Linked DNA regions of Rattus norvegicus. Each later gene encodes a partner of the first gene's protein in a complex. Links are inferred from orthologs where the notes say so. Each region holds a gene or a part of one and is shown in the gene's direction. Other genes may lie near its edges. The genes, in order: Edn1, Ednra and Ednrb.

Region 1 (10,093 bases):
CCAAAGGGTGAGACCTAGGTTCAATGAATGACCGTGGGTCAATAATGAATAATGTGGAGAGTGACCTAGAAAGACACTAAATACCAACTCTATCCTCTACCCATACATGCACATAAATGAAGCCCATAAACACACACGTTCTAAAATTATTCATGTAAGAGAAGCAATTTTGCTAACAATAAAATATTTTTAAAACATCTACCCATGTCACACAAATGCGGCAAAGCAAACAAACAAAACAAACAAATAAAACAACATATGAAAGAGATTTCCTGGTGACTGAACTTCGGAATAACAGGTCAGAAAGTCTGAACACAACCTTTTAAACTAAATATAAGACATACTTCGTAATTTTTTTTAATGCATTGGATAACTTGATTCGGGCTATCTCATTTCCGGTGGGATATTAACTTTTTTTTTTTTTTTTTTTGGATTAAAGGGAGAAAGACACTTTGTCTACTCACAGCTCCCACGTGCATGCCGTGTGGCCAGGGCACAATGCACAATGACTGTAATGTATGGCATTTCATTGTACATAGCACAGTCACCACAGGATTAAAGCAGGCTCAGTGTCTGCATAGCTTCACCTTGCCCACAAATAAGTTAATTTCCACTCATTGTTGGGCAGTCGGCTCTTCTCTTCCCTGAGCAAAATGCAACATCTCACTCTAAATTTATTGGCTTGGCAAAGTTGCAAGTTTCGTTACGCAAAAGCTGAGAAAGACCAAAGTCGAGGAGTGCTAAAAACAGTACACTCTGCTACTGTGTAGTCTCTGTATTTGAGGCTCAGGCTGTTTTATTTATAGCTATCTATTAATATGCAGCCAAAGATACAGAAAAGAAAAACATAAAAACAGCTTTATCAGACAGTTTTCCCCGCATTTCAAGGGTACATCTTAAGCAGGAACAAGAAGGCCAACAGGGAGCTGTTGTGTGACAGGAAAAACCCATCTTCCTTGCCACTCTTCAGGGTGATGGGCTGCAACGAGCGTTCCCCTGGGGACTGTTTTGAAAAGTGGGATGGACTCCGGGAAGGCAGCCCCCACCCCTAGTTATAAAACTTTTGTGCATGTTTATGCCGTTCTTCTGGTCTTTAGCCTCTCTAATAGTAATACCTTAAGTGGAGGTGGGTGGGACCATCGAGCTTGTCAGACTGGTTTGCCGCCTTCCTTTCTCCTCCCCCTGCTACTTGGCAAAATTTTATCTGGTGAAGCTGCCTAGTGTAGCCTAGAGCTTCCCTCTCTGGGCTTGAGTGAGGATTCCTCCTTCCTTTCATGGGAAGAAAAGCGGGGTAGGGGGCTGCTGTAAGGGACAGAGATGGAGAGATGGGTAGAGAGGCAGAGCCTACCCTTAGTCCCAAGCACATAAAAAAGGGACATAGGTGCACAGACATGTACATGATGCATAAACACACAGAGGCCTAGGGAACTCGGGACAAAACATAAAAGGTAGACCTGGAAAGATGGGACCCTCCCGGGGCTACGATCTCGGTTTTTATTTGCGGTTTCCTCTCGCTGAGCTTTAGAAGAAGAGAGTCCGAGTGGATGGCCGCCAGAGTTTACATTTGATTTTCGAGCACATGTTCAGGGTGGTATGGGTAGGCAACAAGAGAATGGGCAGTAGAAAAACATGTTTGCTTCCCTTCTTTCCTTGATGCTGGGGCCACCGGTATCTCCAGAGGTCCCCCAGCTGAAGAATGATGGCCCAGGCTAGACACTGGAGGATGCCTTCGAGAACTGGGTTGGGCATTTCCGGGGCGGAGCTGAGGACAGGTTGGTCCTGATAGTTGCCAGAGTTTGGTCAGATTGGCCAGGAGGTCAGAAAGCGGTGGGGGTGGGGTGTACATTTCCCAGCCACCTTTCCCCTGCCGGTGGGAAGCTTGGACTTTGGGTAGGTGACATCAGCTCTCCTCTCCTCCAGGTCCCCTGAGGAGCTGGGGTGGGATGAGCTGGCTTCCTGTTGGGGCCCAGTTCTAGGGGTAGCTGTCACCTCCTGGCCCCCACCCTCCGGGGTAGGTCTGAGGTAAGCAAAGCAGAGGCAGAAGCTTACCAGTGGCCCTGGGCCTCGGGTGTGGGTGTGGGAGGGTTGCTGGTTCCTGCTTCTCCAATGTCTCCAGCTCTTAGTACAGAGTCTCCTAAGGGACAGAGTTCTCAGTGACCTAAAGCTGCTGCTGTGTTGTCTCCCCTACCGAGATTTCCAGAGAGCTCACTAGGCCTAAGCATGTCCCTGTCCACAGCTTGGGAATCGCTATCAAATCTGCCTTTTGATTGTAGAGTTGAAGAGCTAAATGAATAGTTGCGTGGGGTGGGTCCCTGTGTGGGTCCCGTGTTAGAAGTGAGTCTCTCTTGGCATCTACTCCCAGGGAAAATCGGAGTAGAACAAGAGGGATGAAAGAGGGACCTTTGCGGTGGCATCCTCACATCTTGATTTAGATCCTTTATAGGGAAACCATTGAGTGGATCCCGCGTGTTGTTTCCAGCTTTTGGGCATTCTGGGGGGTCCTCCCTCTTCCTCCCTTGAAAAGTGAAGCTTATTGAAAAAGTCAATGTGCTTTATGTGTGTTTTGCTTTATTCATGAAGACATGTTGTCACTTGTACCTTAATAACCCATGGGCACCCGGGGGAGGGAGCATTTCATGGCAAAATAGACAGGAAACTGTTTGGAAAACGTAAACACGTTATTAAACGGTGAGGTATGATCTGATCCACTTACTCAGTCAGCATAGGCAGTCCTCCCCTCCCCACGCTCTCCCTGTAGCTTCCTAATCAGGCACAGGACACTGGTTCGCCCCAGTGTGCAAGCAAAGTGGGGCGGAGGAGACTGGGAAGTCAGGGAAGGGAATAATGGAATGCCCTGAAGTCACCTCTCCTTTCGTCTGTGAGGCGCCCTTCTCTGCCCGGCCGCGGCTTGTTGCTAATCATTTAGAAGCCAAGGCTTTAATTGTTTTATCTTACTAAAGCACAAGCCCCTGCAGCTCTTCGTCTCCCCCTGGTGTTCGTTCCTGCCATTTCTCAAGATTCTTCCCGATAGCGCGCGCGCGCGCGGGGGGTGGGGGGGGGTGGGGGGTGCAATTCCCAGGGAGAGGCTGGGCACAGGAAATTTTGGAGGGGGGAGAGAGTGGGGGGGTCCTTCTGATCGGCGATACTAGGATGTGCCTGACGAAACCATATTGCTGTTGTTATCATTGTTCCTTAGTTTTCCCTCCTTGCTAGCTCCTGACGGAATCCTTCGCACCTCCGTTGCGAAGAACTTCAGTTTAAAAAAGACTTGGGGGAGTTTGGAAAAGTAAGCTGATCTCCCTAAATAATCTGGTCTTCCTCCCGCCCCCACCCCAAGTAGCAGGGAGTGAAGAACGAAGAGGGGGATCCTCCCCTGGTTTGAATCCAACTAAGAAATCAGAAAGACATAAAAGGAAAATCAAGTGAACAATGATCAGCCCCACCCCCACCCCACCCCCCGCGCGCACAATACAATCTATTTAATTGTACTTCATACTTTTCATTCCAATGGGGTGACTTTTCTTCTGGAGAACCTCTTGATTCTTGAACTCTGGGGCTGGCAGCTAGCAAAAGGGGAAGCGGGCTGCCGCTCGGTGCAGGTTTTGCAGAGGTCTCTGTCCAGTGGGTGTTTTCTTTTTCTTAGCCCTGCCCCTGGATTGTCAGACGGCGGGCGTCTGCCTCTGAAGTTAGCCGTGATTTCCTCTAGAGCCGGGTCTTATCTCCGGCTGCACGTTGCCTGTGGGTGACTAATCACACAATAACATTGTTTAGGGCTGGAATAAAGTCGGAGCTGTTTACCCCCACTCTATAGGGGTTCAATATAAAAAGCCCGGCGGAGAGCTGTCCGAGCCAGACGCGTTCCAGCACTGGCGCTGAGAGCCTGACTGGGTCTGCTCCGCTTGTCCTCGAGCGCTGCCTCCCGGGCTGCCCGCGACGCTTTCGCTCCGGTGAAGGGGCCACTTTTTGAAGACCGCGCTGAGATCTCCAAAAGCCAGAGGCGATCAGAGCAACCAGACACCGTCCTCTTCGTTTTGCATTGAGTTCCATTTGCAACCGAGTTTTCTTTCTTTCTTTTTTTTTTCTTTTTTTCCCTCCTCTTCTTCTGATCCCTTTGCAGAATGGATTATTTTCCCGTGATCTTCTCTCTGCTGTTTGTGGCTTTCCAAGGAGCTCCAGAAACAGGTAGGTGCCACTTGCGAATCTTTCTGCTTCAGCGCAACGCCGTTCTCGCTTCTGTTTTCCACTTTTCTTTTTTCTTTCTGTCCTTTTTTTTTTTTTTTTAAATTACTGAAGCTGGAGCAGCAAGTGCCTTGCAATTACTTCTGTGTGCCAGCGAAAGGAATAAAACTCCTGTTTGAATACAACTGACTACAACCGAGTATCACATAGCTTTAAAATAACGTTGTAGCCGTATCGCTGAGTGGCTACAGCTGAGGCAAGGATATATTTGAAATACGTGTGTTTAGGGTTGCATGGTGCATTTAGGAGCTTATTCAAACGCTGTCTTGATAGTGTGCTAATGTGTAAAATACTAAAACACTCCAGCTTAAAGCCAAGGAATTTTATTCAGGTCATGCAGGCACAACGTGAGCAGTGAAATCACCTGCCGATCAACCGTGCGCTGAGTAACCCCGCAGGCGGTTTCAGGGCGAAGCACATGCTTTCTTTAAAATTTGTCACTATTGACTTAAGGTTTCATTTGGCAGGTTTTTGGCATCCTCAAACAGCCTGAGCTCTATTTCAGTAGTATTCACCTGTCCTGGGAAGGGAGCCGGGATCATTCCTGCCTGATTAAGGAATTAGACAGTATGGGCCGCTTCTGGTTCTTTCTCCTCCCATCCTGTTTTTTTAGGGTCAGTGCCTTCTTTTTGTCTTCACCTGACCCTAAGCAAAGAGAGAGGTTGTCAAAGGGATGAAAATCCTGGAATGTGTCTGATCGTTTGAAATGAACAAAATTGGGAAGAGAAAATGCACGACCAAATGGTCAATTGAAAGAGGCTAGCGATGCTGTGTTGGGCCAGAGGGAGGTGTCAAGTCCCACGCAAGCTGTGCGGCCCCAGGATTCTGAACCCAGAGTACTTCCCTGGCTCCCCTGAGCTGTACCTTCTCTTCCTTGAGTGGCCACTTATCTCCCACCTGCAGTGACTGTTGTAAAGTCAGTTTCTCTTCGGTGTCCAGGCATTTTCTGGAAGTTCTTGCTTTCTGCCTAACATAAAAAGGCACCCATATGCAACCTAGATCATTCTGTGCCCCTACACGAGCTGGAATGGGGTGGGTACCCCTAAGGAGGTTATCCTGAGTTGGGAACGTGGCTCCAAGGCTGCTAGGAATAGACGGTCTGTCTTATTTACTTGTGGCCACCAGCCAGCTTAATCTATGGGAGTTGTGCTAGTCTAAGTCTCAGGTATGGACTTCCTCAAAATTCCATTTTGAAGCGTCTTCAGAAGACTGGAAGAGTCCTTTCCTAGCTGTTTCTCTCTCTCTCTCTCTCTCTCTCTCTCTCTCTCTCTCTGTCTCTCTCTCTCTCTGTCTCTGTCTCTGTCTCTCTCTCTCTCTCTCTCTCTCTCTCTCTCTCTCTCTCTGTGTGTGTGTGTGTGTGTGTGTGTGTGTGTGTGTAATCTCCCTGCAGGTTGGATAAGCCAGCCAGGGTAAGGGTGAAGTCCTGTTAAGCACGGAGAACAAAGAAGTCTCTTTCTTTCTGTTTGTGTTTCTGGCTAAAGGCAGTTTTATGCCTTGTCTGCTTCTATTTGCGCTGCTAGATCTGGCCTGAATACTTGGATGCAGGTGCTTGCTCTGGACGCCTGAAGAGAGATTCCTACTAACCCGACCCTCTGTTCTCTTCACAGCTGTCTTGGGAGCAGAGCTCAGCCCCCGAGCTGAGAAGGAAGTGCAGAGCCCCCCTCCCAGCACATCCTGGAGACCCCGCAGGTCCAAGCGTTGCTCCTGCTCCTCCTTGATGGACAAGGAGTGTGTCTACTTCTGCCACCTGGACATCATCTGGGTCAACACTCCCGAGTGAGTCTCTAGAGGGCATTGTAGTCCTAGCCATCCTCTTACTGCTGGGGCTTTCTGGAGCTGGGAGACCCAGCTGGGGTTTCTGTTCTGGGAGGTTTCTGGGCTTTTGCATTTCTGAAGGCAAAAACGTGCCTCCCAGGGGGAACAGTGCTGACTGAGACAGATGAGCTTAGTGGTAGCCATGTAGGAGAGGGTCTTCTGAGAGGCTCAGAGTCACACTGCTTACTGTGGGATGAGGGCAAACAGGAAGGAATTGTGCATTTGAAGACAAGAAAGGGACGGAAGAACGTAGCGAGAGGCTCTCGATGTGGACTTAGGGATCAGTAGACCAGGTCCTATGGAGGGTAACATACCTATACTTCTCAGAGAGGCTCGCTGAATCTGTTCCAGACATACAGATGTAATAGGGAGTTATGACATATTTCCTTTCTTTTACTTATAGGAAAACTAAGAAACACAATGTTGAAGCCCCTTGCACAGGAATGAGCTGGGAGTAGGGCTAGAGCAGGGAACTGAGCTTCCTGTTTCTCTCTTTCGTCTTTAGAAAACTGTGATCCAAGGCAGAGCTCAGAACAGCGCCCATAGGTTTCTCTTGTACCTTCAGAGTGAACAGAGGCTGTTTTACCCTCAGCCCCCAACACTAGTCCACTCCTTAGGAGCAATCAGCAGAAAGAACAAACACATTTATTCTGTCTACAATGGCTGGCCAAGTTCCAAACCAAACCAGACCCAAACCACCGAGGACCTAATCCTTAGTAGTGTTTCTACCAAGGGGAGGACTCCGTTTCTTGTTGAGTGAATTGAAACGGACTCATTGCAAGTTATCGGAGAGCATTTTGACACTAAGTCCTTCACAGCCATTCAGTTTTACTGAACTCTAGAGCAATGTGCCAAGGTGCCATGCTCCACCAGGCAGCGTTGCCACACATGACTGAAGTAGAAAACCTTATGTTTTGGTGTTGCTGGAGTCCTTCTGTTTTCTGGCCCCATGACCCACTTGACACCAGAAAAGAAAGAAAGCACAAAGCAGAAACCCAAACAGAGGTTGTAATCTGGAACAAAACTGTGTCTAGATGAAATGGAATATTGTTAAGTATTGAAATAGAATTTCATTGATTCAGAAGGAAAGCTGATGTTTTCCCATTTAGGGGAAACATACACTGAGGACCACTGATGGGCAGACAGGCCAAATGGCTTCCGTACTTTGGTATCATGAGCTGTCCAAATGAATGCTCTCTGAATTGTAGGCCCAAGGAATTTGAAAGATTATTAAGTAGGCTAATATCTTTTCCTTCTCTCTTTCCATAACAGGCGCGTCGTCCCGTATGGACTAGGAAGCCCTTCTAGGTCTAAGCGATCCTTGAAAGACTTACTTCCCACAAAGACCACAGACCAAGGGAACAGATGCCAGTGTGCTCACCAAAAAGACAAGAAGTGCTGGAATTTCTGCCAAGCAGACAAAGAACTCCGGTGAGTGGAAGCCCCTTGGAGTTATCCAGCCTGCTGGCCTGCTCCCTCTCAGATGGTCTTTCACTTTAGAGAAAGGAGCAGAGACATGGACAGGCAAGGTGAATCTCAACAAGCCATCGCTAAAGTGGTTTTCCCTGTCTGTCTTCACAGAGCCCAAAGTACCATGCAGAAAGGCGTAAAAGACTTCAAGAAGGGAAAACCCTGTCCCAAGCTGGGAAAGAAGTGTATCTATCAGCAGCTGGTGGAGGGAAGAAAACTAAGAAGGTAAGAGGCTCATGGGGACTCCTGGCCCTGGATACCAGTGCTAATGGCTCCCTAGTCCTTCCCACTGGGAGAAAGAAAAGCTTGAGTACAGTAACAGAGTCGTCATGGTCTGTGGACTCAGAGGAGCAAAGGGCTCCTCAGATACTGGGGCCTTGAGTGCAGACGCCTGCCCACTGTGTCTTAGCACACATTGTTCAGTCTATGGATGGAGCTTCCACACTAAGACAGCTCTAGAGTTTGAGCATGCCCAGTCTTTTCTCCTCTGGTCTTTCATTTTCTGCTTGCCTGGAGAAACTGAAAATCATGCCAAAGAAAAAGACATTTAAAATATTTATATATGTTACTCCAAGAGTGCTAGTGATTCAAATGGCCAAAGGGAAATAAAGCCATTAGATAAGGTTGGTGAGATTTAGAACATGTTGTTTTTCAGGTTTATTCCGTTACTATTGTTGAAATATGGAAATTTGAAGGGCCAGGTGTCACTTGGCTTGCTTCCTGAGGCCCAGGAGAGGGCTGGATTAGGCAATGCCACAGGGTGGCAACAAGCAGCTTTTTTGGTGATCCTTCCAAAGGCTAAACTTTTTGAAACTGAGAAGGACCCTTGTTCAGATCTGTCATAGGCTCACTCCTATCTCTAGAAGTGTCCCCAAGTCATCCAGGGTCAAGGCGTTCTGGGACCAAAGTGTTCTGAGCCCAATGTGGCCGTGGGGAGGGACTGCTGACTTGGTTACTGCTCCTGTGTGGGGACAGCCCCTCTTAGCTCTTCCTTCGCACCCACCACTGTGGGGTCCCACCAGGTCACAGTTGCACAGCTGACCTGAGGCTCAATACCTTTTTGTTACTCTGTCTTCCATTAACTACGAAAGTGATGCTCCAGTTCTTTATGTGTCCCTTCTCATATGTGTGCGCGTGCACAGACACACACACACACACACACACACACACACTGACATTGCACAACCCTTTAAACTGTCACTAAGCACTCGCTTAGGTCTCCCTGTAGGCTCCCTAATTTTCTCTCCATCCACCTGTTAGCTTCCATTTCTTCTGTGGTTTAGAAAGTGCCAGAGGGTAGGATGACGCTACTTAAGCAGAACATTTGGAACTTAACTCCCTGTAGACATACTCACAGGCTTCCTCTCCACAGCACCAAACAGCATAGACAGCAGGGTCTATTCACACAATAGTCGTAGCCGCTGCTTGAGGATTTATCAAAGAGGCACCACATTGCTACAACTGGTGCAAAGGGCCAGGAACTAAGACTTAGTGCGTTTGTGCCAGATTCTAATTTTAGACATTTCTTTAGCCAACGAGTGATTTGTTTCCATCTCTGTGAGTGTGTGTTGAATATTTTCTCCTCTCTTGTTTTAATAGGTTGGAGGCCATCAGCAACAGCATCAAGACCTCCTTTCGAGTTGCAAAGTTGAAAGCGGAACTCTACAGAGACCAGAAGTTGATACACAACCGAGCACATTGACTACAGAGCCCCGTGGTGTTTTGGAAGCCATGACTTACATAGAGCGAGCCCTATGGCCAACTCTGCGCTCTCCATGCTGGCTGGGATCTTAGCAAGAACATCTGTCCGGCTTCTACAGTTTCTTGTTCAGACTGGCAGAGGACCAGCGTCCTTGTTCCAAACATTCCAAGAGAGGTTGAGGTGTTCCCTAACCTGTCTTCGTTTGCATCCGCTGGTAGCAAGTGATTCTCTTGCCTCTTCTTGCTGTCTGGGGATGGCCTCGGACCTCTCGGAGAGCAGAGACACAGTGCCATTCCTGAGTGGCATCATCCAGAGAGCCAGGAGATTCCATAGCAGGGCGGAGTTTCTGTAGAAAGTCCTTAGGGAGTGTTCGTGTCTGACTCAGGCGCCTGGCACATTTCAGGGAGAAACTCCAAAGTCCATGCAAAAAATTTTCTGAGGAATGCACAAATTGAAAACATACTCGAAGGACAAACACTTGAGTTTTTTTTTTTTAAGGACTTTTTTTTAAGTTGTAAAATGCAAAACTCAAAGCAACTGTTACTACTGTACATTAGGATATGTTTCATGAATATGAGTCTACCTCACCTTTCTGCACTGTCCTACACATTCTCACCTTTAATTATTGCCTCTCTATACGCTCTCTCCTCCGCTACCGGGTTCTCCATCCCCCTATATTGAATCCTTGCCTCACAGAAATCGAGTCAGAAGTAGCTGAAACATTTCTGCGCTAATCTGCTAGCTCTGATCTATGAGAGAAGGGATGAAAGAATCCGACCGCTGCCCTTGACCTTGGGAAACAAAATGGTATAGAGTTATTTGAAAAATCTGGTTGTACTTTTGTAGCAGGAAAGATATGTTCCCGTA
Region 2 (9,993 bases), on another chromosome or scaffold:
TTAAGTGTGTGCATGTCTGTGTGCATGTGCATATGTGCCGTGTGTGCGCGTGTGTATGTTGTACACATCAGTGTACAAGAAGGCAGGAAGTATTGCATCCCTTGAAGCTGACAGTTGTGGGACACCTGACATAGGCACTGGGAACTGAACTTGTGTCCTTTTTTTTTTTTTTTTTTTGGTTCTTTTTTTTTCGGAGCTGGGGACCGAACCCAGGGCCTTGCGCTTCCTAGGTAAGCACTCTACCACTGAGCTAAATCCCCAGCCCCAACTTGTGTCCTCTTAACTCCTGAGCCAGCGCTCTAATCCTTACAATAACCACATATAAAATATCATTAGCTTTGAGGCTTTACATGATCTCACCGTATTCTACTGGAGGGAGGAACCACTTTTTTAATGCGACAGCAGTAATAAGGAGGAGTCTGAGGTCCTTTAAAAACAATTTTTAGTTTTTAAAACCATATTTTTCTTGTCTGAATCAGATTACCACCCAGGAAGAGTTGCCATGGTATTTCAGTGATATTTTTAAAATATGATAATCATCTGGGTTTGGAGCTGTCCTGAGAGAAAGCATATGTCTAGGCACTTTTGAATTTCTTCTCTAATTACTTACTGAAATGCAGAATGCAATAAAACCAAGGAAAAGTCCCAGTTCCCTCCCTGTGGTGCTGAGACAGATTCCAGCTCCCTCCCTGTGGTGCTCAGACAGATAAACAAGCCTGTCAGAGAGGCGCAGTCTACACCTGGTGGATGAGTTTCCTTTGCTCAACTGTGGACCTGCCTCAGTTTAACCCTTTTGCTAACTCCTCAAGTTTAACTGTTATTTATTTACCCTAAATATATGTTCTTAGTCTCGTATGAGAAAGATAGGAGGAAGTTTCCAGAAATAGAGAAAGAAATCTAAGAACAAGTTTTGGCTTCCGCCCAGCTTTATCGGTAAACTTTATATTGCTAAAGTATACTTTACAAGGGGTGAACTTTTCCCAGAAAAACTATGAATAATCAACCATTACCAACCATAAAACGTTTTTTCTTGCGGCTGTGATGTGTTTCAAATGTTACTTTTACTTTGTTTGGGGGAGAACAGAAGAAGAAAGGCGACTCAACGCTGCTCTTTGTGAAGTTAATAGTCTTGTTTAAAGTACAAGACGATGACAGGGTCATGTCATAAACAAGCCTGGGTACAGATCCAACTTGTAGTTAGAAGATGTCTGGGGAAGGAGCCTATAAAAAGATAAAACTCTCTTAACGACTCTTCCAGAGCAGTGTATAATTAGATACCTGGAAACCCTGCAACGATCCATTAGGAAGGCAGATTTTTCTCTGTACGCCCCAAGCTTCAGACATGATGCCAGCACCTCCAGTTGTTGATTGGTACCCTCCCTGATAATCTCAGAGACGAATCCTGGGCCAGAAAGCATAAGGTGGTTTTCAGAGGTGCACCCCCTTTAGACTTGGACCTGCTCTCTCCCTGTCCTACTTGTGGTTTCCCACTGCTATATAAGAAGAGGGAAGCACAGAAGTGGTTGAGCCGAAGAGACGGGATGTGGACAAAGTCACACTCTGGCTTGGGTCTGTTCCCTGCAGCACACGCTTCTTCATTCTTTATCTTACTCTGCTGTCAGGACCAGGCAGCTGGTTAGTTTTGCTATCCCTGTTTCTCTTTGATAACCAGATACCCTCAAACTCAGTCGTTTAAAATAACCATTTTATCAGATCTCACTATGTTATGGAACGGGAATTTGGCCACTTCTGTACCCTGTCACTCCGGGCTCCAGCCCTTAGCAGGGTCAGCTGGAAGTCTTGAGGCCTCTCAGCCTGGCAGGACTGTGGTGGGAGCCTATCAGAGGCCAGTCCTGGAACAGGCTGACATCAGAACCGTCCACAGAAGTGCACACATTGGCATCTCCCCTTCACCCAACTCACGTGGTTTCTTGTGAGAAGACTCTCTGATAGGATTTTCCCTCCAACCTCTGGGTGGCAGTGGGTTTGACCATCGTTTAAAGATATAAATCAGAACTAACCATCACAAATGACCAGTTGCTCTTAATTAAAGACAGCAGTGGTGCCCCTTCACCTTCTTGAAGTAGCAAATTTGAAGAAAAACTCATGGGTTTCGGTGTAAGCAAGCATCTGTCTAGGCAGTTCCTAGATACTGCATTTTAAATCACCTGATCCAGCATGCTAAAACACAGCTGTCATGCGACTGGCCGGGAGACTGAGGCAGGAGGATCACAGAAGTTAGAGGCTAGAGTGACTCCCAGCCAGGCTGGGTTGCCCTGTGAGACTGTATCTCCAGAGCAAATGTGTGTTGGCTACCTCTCATCTCCTGGAGTTAACAATTCTACTGCTGATCATGCATCCAGGAAAGTTGCTCACAGTGAGAAAAAAAAATATCTCTATGTACAAAGGTGTGCTTCACTCCTCTGAGAGGCTAAACATGACTCATGAGAGAAAGATTGGTAGAAATGAGATCAATATCGTGCCATCATGTGCAGCCATTGAACTACAAATGCCACGTCTGTGGGAGAGTGTTCTCATGGAAACAGCAAAATACAGTTATAAGTGACGTGAGTAAAGGCTGTGTTCAAACTATGCTTATGGGAACAGCAATGACCAGGGACTGCTGGTACACACCCTTAATCCCAACACTCAATCCCAACACTTAATCCCAACATATCAGTCAGACTAAAGGCTGCTCAAATATAAGAAAAGTAAGTGTGTGTGTGTGTGTGTGTGTGTGTGTGTGTGTGTTAGAAAATAAACTTCCAAGAAAAAAATTCAACGTTGCAGCATTTAGAGTTTCACAGTTCCCACAACTTCCCCATGTCTGTCCACTGTCACAGGATGTCGTCTATTGTCGCTCCTGTAGTCATTGCCTCATCTCACAAAGATGTTAGCGAGATCAACATGATTACAAATGGAAAACATTCTGATTCTTCGTGAGATGAGTCAATAAAAGACTGGACTGGTTATGGGCCATTTAGTGAAGTATCTGCTAAAAACCACTTCTGTGTATAGCAATCTATATCAGCATATATGTATCCGAGTGTGTGGTGTGTGTGTGTGTGTGTGTGTGTGTGTGTACACGCCTGTGCATGCATGCGTGTGCATCTGTGTGCCCATATGCATGCTGCACATGTCTATGAACACACACACGTGCATGTGTGCACTTGTGCGTGCACACGTGTGTGTGTGTGCGAGCGTGCACTTGTGTGTATGTGTACACATGTGTGTGTGCCAGTCAGACTTACTTGTGATACCATATGAAATGAAGCTAATTGATAAACATATTCATCACATTGTCTTACTTAAGCCAAACCCTAGACACCAGCTAAGACACCTGCTTATTACTCTTTTGTGAGGAGAGGTGTTTTGCTTAAATCACCTAACTGAGGTGACGGAAGGGGACAAGAGGCAGATGCATCTTGGCTCTCAGTCCTGAAACACAGACATCTGGTCTCCACTCCAGCTTTTACTGCCAATCAATAAGCCACAAAGAAGAGAAAATAGAACTGGAAATCAAAATAAGCACCAATCTTTATCCTACTGTAAAAAAAAAATATGAATTTTAGGATAGAGTTTGTACTCTACAAAAGGGTTTTCATGGTCTGTTCATAGAGCTGCATTTTATTCCATTCTGAACAAACCTGGGGTTTTTCCAGGCATTCTTATGCATGCAAATCTTACTTACCCTAAAAACATTTTGCAAACCACTTCTCCAGAAGATTGAGATGCGCATCTATCATGTGGTATCATTATACTATACAAAATATATACTGTATGGAAGTTTACATGTTCTAATCTCTAAGCAAGTCTGGTAAAGAATGAGGAGTTGTCATTCTTAGGAGCCCTGTTTCACAGATGCATACTGTGTAGACATACTGTGTGAGGTGGTGAGCAAATATAAATGACAGGGAGTTCATTTGGTGAATGTGGGTGACTTGTGCATAGCCTTGGCTCATTAATCTCGAGCAGTCAAATGTGCATCCTGCAAACTCAAGCACACCTGTATCCAATGCTTTGGTCTGTTTAAAGCCTTCTTCTGTCTGGCACTATTCAATGAAAGCTATAAGAAGAAAATGTTTCCTTTCCATTACAACAGGAAGCAAATTTTCAAATGAATCCACAAAAAGAAAAAAAACAAAAAAAAACAAAAAAAAGTCATTAAAAAAAATAAAAAGGACCACGGTGTGTCTCAGGTCTTCTCTTTACAGTCTGTGAGCATCCAACCAGAACATCAAATCAAAGAGCATGCACTTTCTTCAGACATTTAAGCATGACTGCTGCCAAGGAAACATTAAATAACCAGACATGGTGGTACGCAGTTGCAAACCCAGCACTTGGGGAGTAGAGCGAGAGGATCAGGCACTCAAGGTCATCTGAGGAAATGATTTGAGTTGTAGGCTATCCTGGGCTACGTGAGACACTGTCTCAACTCATACATATCCCAAAAATATTGAAAACGAGAACTAAAGTAAGCACGGTTTCTTAATGCCAGAGGGCTATTTATATCCCATCTATCCACACTTGTGCCCTACCATCCATGTCAACCATTCTCGTCTGTTGGGTTGTTGATCTGAAGGTTAGGAAGGAAGATATCTGTAATTCATATTCTCTGGCACAGGTCTATAATGGGATAGATACTTACCAGATGGTGTGCATTGAACCTGCCACCTGGTAAAGTCCAGTCTGATGGTGTCTTGGAGTAAAGGAAGGGAGGAAATGGTGAAATAGGTGTGGTCATGATTCACTCGGGGATTGAATACTTCATTGGTAATGTTTCCAGTTTTGTTAATAGATCAAGAGAAGCCAGAGCCAGGCAGTGGTGGTGCACACCTTAAGTCCAAGACTCGGGAGGCAGGGCCAGGCCGATCTCTGTGAGTTTGAGGACAGCCTGGTCTACAGAGTGAGTTTCAGGAGAGGCCAAGTTTTAGGATAGCCAAGGCTACATGTTCCCCAAAAGCAAGTATATAGAGATATAGATAGATGATAGATAGATAGATAGATGATAAATAGATGGATGGATGGATAGATGATAGATAGATAGATAGATAGATAGATAGATAGATAGATAGATAGATAGATAGATAGATAGATACACACACACACACACACACACACACACACAGGACATCCTAGCAGCTCTCACTACCTTACCTGTATCCCTCTTCCCCCCACCTTAACGCACACAGGTACACCTACCTCCTGGTGCCACTTTCTAAAGGCACTAAAATTTTATTTTTGCCATTATTTATTTACTTACTGCCTTACTGACAATTTCATACACATATACAATACATTATGAAAATAGTAACCTCCCCATTACCCTCTCTTGTCCCCTCCCCCTCTCCCTGAACCCCTTCTTCCTGACCAGTCCTGTCTCTCACCTGCCCCTCAGTTCAATAAATGTTGCTTATGAGCTTGGGCAGATTGGGCAGATGGACAACTCACCAGTGGCCACATTGCTGAAGAAAATGATACCACCTCCCTCTGTCTGTCACCACTAACAGCCAATGGTAGCTACTCAGGAAGGGGTGGAGCCTCATGGGTACCACCCCTTGATAGACGGCTGAAGGGCCCAGTCCTGTGAAGGCCTTAAACAGACCTCCATCGCTGCTTCATGTTCATGGTTGCCGCACCCGCATTATATCTGGGTGACTGTGTTTTATAGCACTCGTAAATTTTAGATCTTTATAGATTTTAGACTCAGGCCTGGCAGGCCGTTTCCAAATGGGCAAGCTGGTTTGCTTCGTTTTATTTTATTTCCCATCAGGGCTCACAGAAAATTCCTCAAAAGCCAATGGTTATACTTCTGTCCGGGGAAGGCATTTTCCAGTCAAAATTAGTTCAAAATATACTAACAACGTGATTTACCCCCCTTCTTTTCTCTTCCTCCCTCCCCCTATCTTCCACTCCTGTTCAGGTACAGAGCAGTGGCTTCCTGGAGCCGGGTTCAAGGAATCGGGATCCCCTTGATTACCGCCATTGAAATTGTCTCCATCTGGATCCTTTCCTTTATCTTGGCCATCCCAGAAGCAATCGGCTTCGTCATGGTACCCTTCGAATACAAGGGCGAGCAGCACAGGACCTGCATGCTCAACGCCACGACCAAGTTCATGGAGGTATTGATCATGCACGCAATTCACTAACCACATCAAGCTCAGTGTTTTAATTTAAAAACGTCCTAAAGCTCAAACTGAGTTAGTTGGGGAGGGGAGGCACTGTGCACTCCACTGTCTTGAGGCCTGCTACCATCTCCACAAGGCTACTGTGCTGACTGACTGCCTGCCAGACAATCCTGACCTGTGTGTAGCTTCCTGAATAGAGCTACTCTGTTATCTCCCCTCTCTTCCCCCCCCCCAACCCCCCGGAGCTGGGGATCGAACCCAGGGCCTTGCGCTTAGCGCTCTACCACTGAGCTAAATCCCCAACCTCATAGCACAGCGATAGACAAAATCGGCTTTCTGTATCAAAGAATTATTAGTAAGTCTCGCTTACTAAGAGAGACTACCTCTGTGTGTGCAAAATGTAATTTGCTTTTATGATTAGCAGATACACACAAGACATTCCATCTGATAGCCACGTCGATGTTACTTGAGGAAGCACAGCTAGCTCAGATATATTCCTGAACACAAATCTCATTTGCCCTAAAGATTTTTGACAGAACATTTCTCTGACAAAATGAGCAGAACCTATGCCCTGTGAGGAATCATTGTACAGCCATGAAACTATAGGTTCTGATCTAGAAGCAACTTTGGTAAGGAATTAGACATCAAGATTCCTCCGAGTGGGCTTGCACTGCACATATGCAGCAGTGTTTATGGGGCTGATATGAATGCAAACAGACTCAAAGGCTGATATCTGAGAACACATCAATCAATCAATCAATCAATAAAAGAACTCAGGAAAATTGGCAAATTGGCAACTTCAAAATCAAAACCATTTTCTTATTGCCTTTTAAGTAGCTCAGGTTCCACAATGAAAAACAGGACAGGTGGGTGACCCGGCCCATGTTTAGGGGATGGCAGACAAGCATTCTAGACTGCAGCAAAAGGCATTAGAGGAGAAATGGTCCTCTACAAAGGCACTTACTGGTCCCTGGAAAGGGACAAAATCAAACAGGTGTTGCCTCAAAGCCTGCGATTCCTGTGTAAGGGGCTTGAGGAGAGGGAGGCCAGGCGCTGGCAGGTTCCCTCGGGCTGAAATCTGGGTATGAGTTAAACTGGTGAGATTTCAGGTCACTCCAAGTCTAGAGTACACTTTTTTCTAACATAGCTTTCTATCTTTTTTAATGTTCCTTCCTTCCTCTTTGCCATCCTCTAGCCTGTCCCAAGGCCCTTTCCAGTGTCTAGCTGAGGACATCAGTTCAGAAACGAAACTGCGTGACCCCTTTCTCAGTAGGTCCCTCCCACGGGGGAGGGGGCAGGGTACTCCATCCTGCGCTGTCCTGGGTCACCTTCCAGACCCCAGGCAACAGATTGTGGGCCATATCCACTCAGCCTGCAATTCTGTGGAAAGAGGCTACAAACACTGGGTGGGTGAGGGAGCAGAGGGGGCGGGGAGGGGCTCAAAGGATGTTTGTGCTTCCAAACAAGGACAGAGGCCAGATGCTCTATGTTCTAGTCAGAGATCCTTCTGCAATGGGGTGGACTAGGAAAGATCTGTTAATAAATGGGAAAAAACTAATTCCTTTGGGAGTTTGCACTTAATGCAGGATAGAATTCAGGGTCTATGAACTTGGATGGGGAAAAAATGTATTTGTTTTCACTAAATTTCCCATAAAATGTATTATTTCCTCTGATTTTAAATATAGATAATAAGCCACTATATTGTTTAAGGGTATCATGGCTTTTTTGAAGAGAAAAAGTGGCCATCTTAAAACAGTAATGTTCAACATTTTGGTAGGTTTTTTTAAGTCATTATATTATTTAATTAGAACTACGTAATGTGTAATTTGTTGATGAATACATATCTTTACCAGAAGTTTATTTTCAGTACTTTGCTAGCTCCATTTCTGTGTAATTGATTTCCATTGTGGACACATATATTTAAATGTGTGCTTATTAAAATATAATGTTGAGGTCTGGAAAGTTAGTTCAGTTAATAAAGTGATAAGATTCAGTCCCCAGAAGCTATGCAAGAAGCTGGTCAGGATGGCACAGGCTTGTAAAAACCAGTGCTGGGAAGGAGGAGGACTGGAAAGGCCCCCATGTGAGACCCTGACTCAAAAAACAGGGCAAAGGGCTCTTAAAGAATAATACCTAAAGTCATTCTGTCCTATACACATGAACACATGAACACATACATGCACACATGCACATGAACACATGAACATGCATAAACACACAAAATATTGTCCTCAGAAGGAATTCTCACTCTCAGCAGATTTCCAAGGGGGTTTGTGGTGGTTACAAAGACTTGCCTGGACTTCTGTCTTCTGGAATCATTTTCAGATTACTTAAACAGTCATAAAGGGCTCCTGTTCATACAGAAGCTGTCAGTATTCAGGGAACAGGGTGATCCTATCTTCAGGAACTGGTCAAACTATCACAGGAAGCCATGTTAGCCTCCAGAAATAACCTGGAGAAAGAGCACAAGGAAGGAAAAAGCGTGTCTTCCCAAGGTTGAGGAAAATTCATTAGAAGAAAGAGTTGAGTACCGTTCTCCCTTTTTGATTTTTATTCTCCATTAGAAAGACAGGAAACTGGACATTCTGGGTTTATATAAATCCTTGCTCACAGAGAGAGAGTGTGTGAAATCAGCCTTTAGCTAGAATGCCTCCCCCCTCCGCCGTTGTTTCCAGGTGGCAAGTATTAAGAGAGAGAGGAGTTATTGCTGGCTGAGCTGGCTGACTCTGGGGTCACATAGCAGACATACCAGGCAAAGGGCTAACTGCAGTTACACAGATAAGCTATTCATTGAGAGCCTTCATGGTTCCTAAATGAGGCACTCATGGTAAGTACACTTTAAACACAACAATCAAAAAGTCAGCCGATCTTATCAAAATGCCGAGGCTCATCAATGAACATGAACGAAATCCAACCCATTGTATGAACTTTAAGAGGAGGCTCTTTGTACTGATTCATTGTGCAGTAGAAATCAGTGTGTCGGCTTCTTAGGACCATCCTTCTAGGGATAATTAGACCATTTTAATATGCATTTTTTTCATGTGGTACAGCTCAGCAACATAGCACTTGCCTAGTGTGTGTGAAACCCTAGCTAGGTATGATCCAGTGTTCATGTGATAACATATGATTCAGTGATTAAATAAAAAAAAATACTGAGCACAAATGCAGGTCTTCACTGCTGACAATGAGGGAGGGTGGATATATTAACCGTATCCACGAGCGCAGAGACTGTGGGGTGAGCAGGGTGCTTCACAGTTAGCTTTCATTCCAATGTCCCATCTCCCCTCTTCCTCCCTGGACAGTTTTACCAAGACGTGAAGGACTGGTGGCTCTTTGGATTCTACTTCTGCATGCCCTTGGTGTGCACAGCAATCTTCTATACCCTCATGACCTGTGAGATGCTCAACAGAAGGAATGGGAGCTTGCGGATTGCCCTCAGCGAACACCTCAAGCAGGTAAACCCAGTTCATGAGAAGGTGGCCAAGGCCTCTTTGACTCCTCAAGCCAGGGTTGTACTGATCATTTATTTGCACACTTCACTAACAAGGTACAGTTGCCTACAGTATGCAGTATCCTAGGAACAATAGGCTAGACCACACAGTCTACTGTGAGATATTTCGTACCATCCAACAATGCAGTATATTCTATGGCGTTGTGCAGTGTTAAAATTGTCAAGCTACACATTTCCCAGAACCTCTCTGTCATTGAACAACACATGACCATGTGGTATCTAACAGATTTACCCTTATTTTCTAAAAATAAAAATGTTCTCTTGGAGCTGTTTCTTTATATAGCCTTAGGAATTCCTTTGGGGGAAGTGGGCTCCTGCCTGTGAACCAGATGGCCACGGGGAGGCTGCGCTGAA
Region 3 (9,993 bases), on another chromosome or scaffold:
TCCACTGTTCTCCAAATCCTCTGCCTTGTCTCTGCTGTCGTAAGCCTTAAGAGAAACTTCTATTTGTAAGATCCATCTTCTTAGAGTGCCATTCACTTTCTGTCACTTTCTTTTTATCGAGAGAGCACTGGGGCTGATGAAAGTCACGTTTATTTTTTGTTTTTCTGGAACCACAAGGTTAGAATCTCGGTACCACTGGTATGCCCTATGCGTGCACCTCAAAAATTCTGAGGGTTCCTCCCAATAATTTTATTTGCGATGTTTACATGTGAAGATGTTTTAACTTTTCTCCTATTGATGGGCATCACAATTTACAAGTATTTACACCTCACTTGGATTCTGCCCCAGGGAGCTCTGGCTGCCTGGGGTCTAGCAGGAGTGTTGTTGGATCTACTATATGGGGTCTATGTTCTCCCTTGCCCTCTCAAGAACCACTGGGTCTTGAGAACCACTATAATGTTCATGGAAGCCTGAATACCAGCCCAAAAGGAGTGAGAGTTAGGGCAGAGCAATTGCCACGTCTGTTTGAGAAACCCATGGAGACAGAGCCTCTGGTAAGTTTAACGTAAGCTATTTCTTCATCTTGGAGCTGCCGCCTGCTGAACCACAACTGTGCATTTGCACTGAGCAGGCTCACTCGATAAAGTAACACAGGGCCATCTACATAATCCGCTCCTTCCCATTTGCCTTCTATCTTGCAAAACAATCCTAATTCTGATTGCGTGGTGACAACCAAAAGCCCTCCTTCTGAAGTATACTGAGTACAAACAATATTACCAAGGACGACCATTCTTCCTTTCGTAGGCTCCTAAATGAAACCAGTCAGTCCAACCCATAGCTGAGAGCTGCAATTCAGGTCTAAACTGGAGTTGACCGAGACCTGGAGATAGACTGAAACAACTCGCTCCAGCAGAGGAACAAAAGAGGAAACCTAGTAGTTCCTCATAGTTCCTCAAAGCAAGAGTCCCTCTGTCGAATTGCTGTGAAGGCTCATGTGTATAAAAACCAGATACAAACAGGAAGGAAGAATTCTGTGGTCCTAGTGCCCAGGTAGCTCACACAACTGGCTCAGATTGAAAACACTGAAGCTCGGAAGTTTCACTGCTCAAATGGCTTTTGGGCCAATTTCCCCCAGAGAAGAAAATCTTGAGAAATCTCCAGGACGAACAGCATTTCCGATGCTTCTGGTGTCTGACTTGGTGTGCATGTTCCAACCATCCCTCCGTGGGTCACAGAATTCCTGACTAGCTCGCTGTATTTTCATACAAAAGTCAAATAATAGCCAGGTTCCTAATAGGCAGTAAAGCTGAAAACATAAAGAAATAGAAATTCGGAGAAAGTTCACAGGGAAAGTAACAACTAGGAAGGGTAACTATTGGGCATCAAACGCCCCTCCGGCCACGGTTGTGGACAATCTAAGGGCACATCACAGGGATAAAACCGGTAGGTAGCCTCACACATTTTGACAGAGCCAAGGTTTCTGGAATTCTTATCCCCAGTGGATAGCTGGTATCCCACTTGGCAATATACAGTTCTAAACGCCAAACTTGTAAACTACCTATAAAGTGCTTGGTTTATTTTTTTGGCAAAAATATAAATCATTCATTTTAGCACGAGGGCCTGATTATCGTGGCAGCACGTGGCCCAGCCTATTGCCATTTTGTACAAAGGTACAAAGTCATTTTTTTTTTCCTTTCGTTGACCACATTCTGAGCAACAAGTTACCTTTTAAAAATAACATTACCATCACACCATTTTCCTGTCCTTTTCCTAGCCTACTCTACGGCTGGTGTGTTCATTGCTTTAACCAACTACAGACTTGTGTTGTCTCTTCAGAGACATTCTTACTGGGAAGCCTATTGAGAAAACACCTCACATCCCATAATAGGGCTATTTCTGTTGGATACCATCTCAGTTGGGAATTTTCATATGTGGGGTTCCCTGACAAATAGCATCTGAGGCTTATTTGACAAAGATTATCCCAGACCTTGCCGCCACTCCTGGACATCACCTTCCTGAAGTCAGTGACTGGCTTGCAATGGCCCTTTCCTGCCTGTTAAGGTCCACAGCCTTGTCAGTTTCCAACCCCTATATGAAGTACATATGCAGGAAGTCTCCCCATGTATCTCTGTAACTTTTCATATCTAATTTAAAGATTAAATTGGACTCACGTTCATTCTTCCAATCTCAGTCGTGATGAGACAGACTGTCGCCTGTGAGGCCATGCTGGTCACAGAACAATTCACAGAGCTTGTCGCACACACTCCCTGGAGTAACGAGGCAGAAATCTCCAATTGTGTTTCAGGATAGCTCTCGCTTTTGTAAGGTTATTTTTTTTTTAAAAAAAAGAGTTTTTCAAGACCCCACAGATTATAAATATTTTTCTTTATTTACAAACTCTCATGAATATTAGATCCAGATGTCTACCTAAAGTGATTCATTTACCAGTGTGGCGAGCCCAGTGTCTAAGAAGGGAAACAGCTCCGTTTAACAGCAGTTGTTGATGCCAGATAAAGAGAAATATATGTATAAATATGGAAAGAGAATGGACTGTGTCTTTTCATTCAGTACCTATGCGTTTCGGCAGCATGAACGTCTGCCAAGTGTCTGCTATATGTCAGACACCATTGGAAGCAACTGAGGAACTCATACTCTGTCTTACACTTCAGAGAGTCGGAGAGCAGAAGCTAAACAGGCAATAAAGTATCTTTTATAGGCAGTAAGAGCTGCTAAGAACTATAATAAAGGGAGGAGGGTGAAGGAGATAGGAAGGCCTGGCCCGTGGTTGGAGGGGCAACGTGTTCTAAGTAGGTCCTCTGGGGGAGAGGAGATCTGAGCAAGTCCTGAGGGAGGTGAGAGGGCACATGTCCATCTGTAATGAGAAGACTGGGTAAAAAGTAGCATAGACCAGATGCCCTGTGGCAGGCATACACTGACCCAGTGCATCTAAGGAGTGGTGCGGCTGAGTTAGTAAAGTAAACTACTAATGAGAACAAAACCTTACCCAAGATGCAATCCACAGACCACAGGAAGCTCAAGAAGAAGGACTGCCAAAGTGCAGATGCTCCACTCCTTCTTAAAAAGGGGAACAATAATATTTATAGGAGGGGATATGAAGGAAAAGTTTGGATCAGAGACTGAAGGAATGGCCATTCAGAGACTGCCCTACCTGGGGATCTATCCCATACACATAGAGTCACAAAACTCAGACACTATTGCTGATGCCAAATGTGCATGCTGACAGGAGCCTGATATGGCTGTCTCCTGAGAGGCTCTGTCAGAGCCTGACAAAGACAGAGACAAATGCTAGTAGCAAACCATTGAACTGAGAATGGGGTCCCCATTGGAGGAGTTAGAGAAAGGATTGAAGGAGCTGAAGGGGTTTGCAACCCCACAAGAACAACAATGCCAACCAACCAGAGCTACCAGGGACTAAACCACTACCAAAGACTATACATGGCTCCAGCTGCATATGTAACAGAGGATGGCCTTGATGGGCACCAGTGGGGGGGAGAAGCCTTTGGTCCTGCCAAGGCTGGATGCTCCAGTGTAGGGGAATGTCAGGGCAGGGAGTCAGGAAGGGGGGTGGTTGGGGAGGGGAACACCCTTATAGAAGAAAGGGGGTAGGGATAGGATAGGTGTTTATGGACAGGAAACTGGGAAAGAGGATAACATTTGAAATGTAAATAAAAAATATCCAAGGGGAAAAAAAGAATAATTGGAAAAAAAAAAAAGGAAACCTTGAGCACCCGTAATGCTATCTGCAGAATAGGGGAAGTCCAGTCATCTCCTCTCAAGACTATTTAACCTTTTGTTTAATAAAACTTATATTCTAACATGGTCATTACCTGAGCTCTGAAGCTTTGTGAAATATCCAGTTTCCATTTTCTAAACCAGTGGCCCTCAACCTTCCTAAAGCTTTCACTCTTTAATACATCCACCACACATGTTGTGGTGACCACCACACATCCCTCCAACCATAAACTTATTTTTTTTCTTTCGATGTCACAACTCTAATTTTGCTACTGTTAAGAACCGTAATTTAAATATCTGTATTTCCAAACTGTTTTGGGTGATCCTTGTGAATGAGTCATTCAACTCCTCCCCCACAAGTGGGCCACAGCCCACAAGTTGAGACCCTCTGTTCTAAAGGGTCATTAAGCAACTGGGTCATTGGCCCTTCTGACAAGACCCTGATTGTGCCACCAGTCTACACAAAATGAATCTCATAAACCGGCTGCATTTGCATTACTTCCAATGTGTTCTATATTGGGCACAGGGGCTTTTCAAAGGGCAGTTCTTCCTTCCCTCTGACTGCTAATCACCAGCCCTCAATGATCAGTTCTGAGGCGGCCTTGTGAAAAATCTTTGTAACAGCCCTTCACCTCTCCTCTATGCAGCTGCTGGCAGGGGACTGGCCATTTGGAGCTGAGATGTGCAAGCTGGTGCCCTTCATACAGAAGGCTTCTGTGGGGATCACAGTGTTGAGTCTATGTGCTCTAAGTATTGACAGGTAAGAGTCCATTCTTAGGCCAAGGAGATCCTAACCCACCATATAACTGCTCTGTCACTTAGGAGATGAACTATGCAATTCAATATAACCAAGCCCTACCTGCCTGAGAGATAATTCTGTTTACGTCTCCAGATATCGAGCTGTTGCTTCTTGGAGTCGAATTAAAGGAATTGGGGTTCCAAAATGGACAGCAGTAGAAATTGTTTTAATTTGGGTGGTCTCTGTGGTTCTGGCTGTCCCTGAAGCCATAGGTTTTGATGTGATTACGTCGGACTACAAAGGAAAGCCCCTAAGGGTCTGCATGCTTAATCCCTTTCAGAAAACAGCCTTCATGCAGGTAAGTTCACTTCGCCTGTTCTTCCTGCACTTTCCTTATAAATATTTAACTATCTCCCCCAGTTCCCCACCTTGGTAAGCTATTGATTTATTACTACCTCTGGCATAAATTAAGAGTTTGCATCCCAAGACTGTGAGGTTAACCATCACTAATGACCCGACCTACAAGAGTCAGGATAATTATTCCTCCAAGAACACCCTGGGGATCCAGATAAATCAAGTTCCTACAAGAATGGCTGTGACTTTATGGCTTTTGTGTCTAAGGTCCCACAGGATTGATTATTATTGTGTAGTCTACACAAGACAACCCAACATTGTCAGAGAAGCAGATGGTTTAACATATGTTTAGATAGAAGTTGCCTAATTGTAGTAGATTTGGAACAGCAGCCTGACCCTTCGTCTCTGACGGTAAAAGAAAAGCTGTCTTGCAAAATAATATCAAATTTTGGCCACCTACTAAAGAACTTCTGATCAGAAAATAGGAAAGCATGGGGATATTAGTCTCCAAATGATAGATCCTAAGTATAAGATTTATTTTAGGCAGGATTGGTTAATACAAAGGGGGTTGATTGGTCTGAATATAACCAAGGATTATTTTCTATTTTACATGTAAAAGACTATAAAAACTTTATGAGCTACACATTCGACAATCAGTGAAGGAGCAAAGTGGGTCACCAATGCAGAGTTGAGAAGAGGTTGTTGTTTACCAGAAGGGGAATATAGCACATTGGGGACATAAAATTCTTTCCAACGTAGATATATCTGAATCGATAAGGTTTTCTGAAAGGTAACAGTAGAAAAGAACACAGGAAAAGTGTAACTCTTGATTGACCTTTCATGTAGACACTATTGACTTAAATGGCCAGTACAGACCTCTTCATACCTGGTTTTCACACTAAACACACTTAATAGAAAGGGAAAACATCACCTAACACTGAAATAGGTTTATATACTTAACACCTAACATTTGAAATACCTGGTTATTCAGTGTTATCTACACATAAGAATTTTGCTCAGCTGCCTACAGGTTACTATACTGTCCCAAAGAATTGAAATATGTTCTGTAATATTTCTTTAATTTAATGCAGGACTTTAATTATGTGTTCAGTAGACAGGGCCCATGAAATTCTATACAGTACATAGACGGAAGACGTTACCAAAATCATTGTCCTTTGATGAATATTTTATTTTTAGTTGACATTTGATACATAAGGTGCTTTAAGCAGGAGATATTAATCATAAACATTTCTTTCTTCCCATAGTTTTACAAGACAGCCAAAGACTGGTGGCTGTTCAGTTTCTACTTCTGCTTGCCGCTAGCCATCACTGCGATCTTTTACACCCTAATGACCTGTGAGATGCTCAGAAAGAAAAGTGGTATGCAGATTGCCTTGAATGACCACTTAAAGCAGGTAAGAGGATGGGAGAATCCAGTAGAGGGAAGCCCTAACTATGGTCAGATGGAAGTCATGATGATGGTGATGATGGTGGTGATGGTGATGATGATGATGATGATGATGATGATGATGATGTCACCAAAAATGATGATAAACTAATATTAGACACTAGAACATATTTTCACTTTCATCCTTCATTCTATTTCTGTAACAAAAAAACATTTTATATTACTTGTTTAGAGACTATATCATCTACAATGATCTAAAGAGAATCATTGCCTTCTGCTGTTGTTTTAAGCTAGAATCTCAATTAGCCCAGGCTAGACTTGAATTCAGCATGTAGCCAGAGATAACCTTGGATTCCAGATCCATTTGCTTCTGACTCCCAAATGATGGTAGTACAGACCTGTGCTATTTTTCCAGTTTCACTCACATATGCGTGCATGCTCTCTCTCTCTCTCTCTCTCTCTCTCTCTCTCTCTCTCTCTCTCTCTCACACACACACACACACACACACACACACACACAAAATGGTTGTATAATATATTTTTAGATTTATTTTATGTATGTGAATGTTTTGCTTGTGTGCGTGTGTGTGTGCCTGGTGCCCATGGGGTTCAGAGTAGGGGCATCAGATTCTATGAAACTGGCGTGATAGATGATTATTGACCACTATGGAGGTACTGGCAATCGAACCTATTTCTTTTGCAAAACAAGTGCTCTAAGCTGCTGAGCTGTCTGTCCATCCCACTCCCCCAAACCCTTAGTTTTAAAACATGATCCCTAGCGATTTTAGGTCTAAGTCGCACTAATTATCTAACTGAAAGCTCATTGGCCCAAGTCTTTATTTGTGTGAATACGATTAAGTATCTCTGTGATAAGAGTGTGTGTTAGCTTTATAAGGATCCGTTGTTCTGTTTCAGAGACGAGAAGTGGCCAAGACAGTATTCTGCCTGGTCCTCGTGTTTGCCCTCTGTTGGCTTCCCCTTCACCTCAGCAGGATTCTGAAGCTCACCCTTTATGACCAGAGCAATCCTCAGAGGTGTGAACTTCTGAGGTAAGAAAAGACAGTAGAACACATGTGACATGGAAAGAAATGTGGCAGCTATCTGGGGGAAGGTAGAGGGAGGTAGGAGGGGGTGCTGAGGGGGAGAGGTAAAGAAAGACCAAAACGCAATGACATGTATGTCATAACATGTATGTGATAACATGTATGTATGAAACTCAGTAATCTGTGCTAACTTAGGTTGAAAATAAGAGACTAGAAATAATTATGAAATTGTCTTCCTGATGTTTCTCCATTATCAATCCGTCTAATAGGCAGAAAGAATACTATTTTCTTATCCACAGAGGCCAATTAAGACTCCCCATTTTCCCTTTACTCCTGCTCTAGATGGGTAAATTAGAGGGATTGGGAAACCTTGGGAATGTGGGCACAGTTGTCAGAATGATGAGTGACAAGATGAAAAGTGTCAGATCCGAGATGTCACTGTTCACATCAGTCCCCTCTCTTCTGAACACCCCGTCACTTCCAAACGAGAACCTTACTTTTCAAAGAAAAAGCTGGATGTGGGAGATGAAGGCAGTGGAGATGCCAAAGACAGAGAGAGAGAAAGAGAGAGACAGACAAAGAGAGAGAGAGAAAGAGAGAGAGAGAGAGAGAGAGAGAGAGAGAGAGAGAGAGAGAGAGAGAGAGAATGGCAGGCAGAGCAGCAGACAGGTGCTTTACAGGCAAATCGGTGGTTAAGCAAATCGGTGGTCAAATCATTGCGTGCACGTAATTTGGGTTTTCTTCATAAACACACAAAGGTGTGCATTAAATCCACACTTGGAGGAATGTAATCTTTACAGACACATTTGGGTTTCTTGCAGTTTTTTGCTGGTTTTGGACTACATTGGTATCAACATGGCTTCTTTGAATTCCTGCATTAATCCAATCGCTCTGTATTTGGTGAGCAAGAGATTCAAAAACTGCTTTAAGGTAAGGGATTCTTCTAAGATAAAAAGTATCCTGTGATCTGGCATCCAATATGGGCTTTAAAAAAACACTAATATCCCTATCTAGAGAGAGCTGGAAAATTGCTAATTTTTCCTGCTTTGTAATATATGTGATGTTTTTAAATATTGCATTTCCACGACAGGACATATTTGTATATTTGTCAGGAGTCAGCCATGCCCTGATACCTTAGCCACTCACCGATACAATTAGACTTGATCAGGTTAATAAAAAATAACATATATTGATGAACATTATCATGCGGTCAAATAAGAACGAAACACAGTTAGATGCAGTGTTCCTCCAACTTGGTAGACTTTTTTTATTGTTCATCTGCGCTTTGTGTTCTAAGTCAGTTTATCTCTTTTTCTCATGGACTTTGGGAATAAAGTCAAGGACTAGGAGATGGCTCAGTGGGTGAGAGGGCTCACTCTGCAGGCCGGTCCAGGTCAGGTCCCCAGAACTGATGAGAAGAGTGACCCATGCTGTGCTGGGTAAGGAAGGCAGAGGTCGGCAGGGCTCTGAGATTTCAAGGCCAGTCCGAGTTACATAGTAAGGGCCTACCTCAAAACACCAAAGAAGGGAGAGGGAGGATATCAAGCGTGACTGCCCTCATGCCTAAAATTCTAGTGATAGGATTGCTAGGGACTGGCAGACACTAGCTTAGCTCCAGGTATAGAGACCCTGCTTCAAGGAAATAAGGTGGAGGGGGATAGATCAGGGCACTCAATGGCTTCCTCTGTCACATCACATACATCACACACACACACACACACACACACACACACACACACACAAATAGCAAGTATAAATAAGTTAAAATAGTTTCTACTGCATCTTTTCTACCTTCTATGTATAGTGGCAATATGTTGCTGCATGTGGAATAAAGCATACTTTAACCCAGATGTTTGCAACGTGGCAGCCCTCCATCTATTCGGGCATTCTTTCAATAATGCAACACCAAGAAAAACATGCCTCCCCTCGCAAGAGAATGAACACTGTCCCTGGTATTTCATTACTTGAAAACCAAAATTCATTTCATCGTAAACACTGAAAATGTCCTTACCCATTCATAACTCAGACATTAGTGGTGGAAGAGAACTTTTATCCAAGCCAACTCCTTTCTTTACAGAACAAAACCCCTGCTATTTCTCTGGGCATAGAGTTTATCATAACATAAACAGAAAACCTATTTCCTTAGACCCATAGTCTATCATAAAACAAACAGGCCGAACAAAGTCTTAAAAGTTTAAAAACTCCAGTGAGAAGTAGAAAAATAAAACCATGCTTTATAAATTTATAAATTTATCATATAACAATATCGGAAATGCATGTGTAGCTTAAAAATAGCTAGGCTAGTAAACTCATTGGCCTGGGAAGAAATGTAGGTCAGTGTTAAGACAAAGCAGATTATGGGGCACTTATACTAGTCACATCTGAGGACAAGCATGTGGGCAACTGTCATATTTGTGTTCTCAAGGAAAAATGTTTGACTTTCATGGTTGTCACACATTAAGTACCACTTTCCAAGTAAATAACTCTAAGTGTCAAAAGGTGGCTTTCGGGCTAAAGAGATGACTCAGCAGGAAAAGGCACTTGCTGTACAAGCTTGTGGGTATGAGTTCAAATCCAAGCACACACATCAAAAGCCCGGCTTGCCTGCCTATGCCTATAACCCTAGCTTTACAGACACAGAGATCCTAAAGACAGCCTGATCAGTCAGCTAGGCAGACAGCGAACTCCAGTGAGAG

What was found.
Region 2: the proteins of Edn1 (region 1) and Ednra are in contact, whole or in part, in a cryo-EM structure (PDB 8HCQ), measured with the Homo sapiens proteins. The link is inferred for Rattus norvegicus from reciprocal best matches to the Homo sapiens genes EDN1 and EDNRA. Residues at the interface, in NP_001403492.1 of Homo sapiens: Cys53, Ser54, Leu58, Asp60, Lys61, Glu62, Cys63, Val64, Tyr65, Phe66, Cys67, His68, Leu69, Asp70, Ile71, Ile72, Trp73; in NP_001948.1 of Homo sapiens: Tyr68, Gln72, Thr73, Lys74, Tyr129, Asp133, Ile136, Asn137, Lys140, Leu141, Gly144, Arg145, Trp146, Gln165, Lys166, Val169, Glu220, Phe224, Val227, Phe229, Tyr231, His236, Lys237, Thr238, Cys239, Met240, Leu241, Asn242, Gln252, Lys255.
Region 3: the proteins of Edn1 (region 1) and Ednrb are in contact, whole or in part, in a cryo-EM structure (PDB 8XWP), measured with the Homo sapiens proteins. The link is inferred for Rattus norvegicus from reciprocal best matches to the Homo sapiens genes EDN1 and EDNRB. Residues at the interface, in NP_001403492.1 of Homo sapiens: Cys53, Ser54, Cys55, Ser56, Ser57, Leu58, Glu62, Cys63, Val64, Tyr65, Phe66, Cys67, His68, Leu69, Asp70, Ile71, Ile72, Trp73; in NP_000106.1 of Homo sapiens: Pro88, Pro89, Ile94, Glu95, Ile157, Asn158, Lys161, Glu165, Asp166, Trp167, Val177, Pro178, Gln181, Lys182, Val185, Phe240, Ile243, Met245, Tyr247, Leu252, Ile254, Leu256, Leu257, His258, Pro259, Lys270, Lys273, Leu277, Trp336, Leu339.

Annotation. Positions count from the first base shown.
Region 1 is NC_086035.1:22,660,524-22,670,616, reverse strand, and holds Edn1 (endothelin-1 preproprotein), read left to right. Parts: upstream 1-3,929; 5' UTR 3,930-4,118; coding exon 4,119-4,182; intron 4,183-5,846; coding exon 5,847-6,015; intron 6,016-7,326; coding exon 7,327-7,485; intron 7,486-7,635; coding exon 7,636-7,749; intron 7,750-9,123; coding exon 9,124-9,226; 3' UTR 9,227-9,818; downstream 9,819-10,093. UniProt on the Homo sapiens protein: Endothelins are endothelium-derived vasoconstrictor peptides. Probable ligand for G-protein coupled receptors EDNRA and EDNRB which activates PTK2B, BCAR1, BCAR3 and, GTPases RAP1 and RHOA cascade in glomerular mesangial cells.
Region 2 is NC_086037.1:47,182,843-47,192,835, forward strand, and holds part of Ednra (endothelin-1 receptor precursor), read left to right. Parts: intron 1-5,923; coding exon 5,924-6,122; intron 6,123-7,950; exon of another isoform or gene 7,951-8,580; intron 8,581-9,430; coding exon 9,431-9,583; intron 9,584-9,993. UniProt on the Homo sapiens protein: Receptor for endothelin-1. Mediates its action by association with G proteins that activate a phosphatidylinositol-calcium second messenger system. The rank order of binding affinities for ET-A is: ET1 > ET2 >> ET3.
Region 3 is NC_086033.1:87,059,341-87,069,333, reverse strand, and holds part of Ednrb (endothelin receptor type B precursor), read left to right. Parts: intron 1-4,400; coding exon 4,401-4,513; intron 4,514-4,645; coding exon 4,646-4,850; intron 4,851-6,111; coding exon 6,112-6,261; intron 6,262-7,169; coding exon 7,170-7,303; intron 7,304-8,118; coding exon 8,119-8,227; intron 8,228-9,993. UniProt on the Homo sapiens protein: Non-specific receptor for endothelin 1, 2, and 3. Mediates its action by association with G proteins that activate a phosphatidylinositol-calcium second messenger system.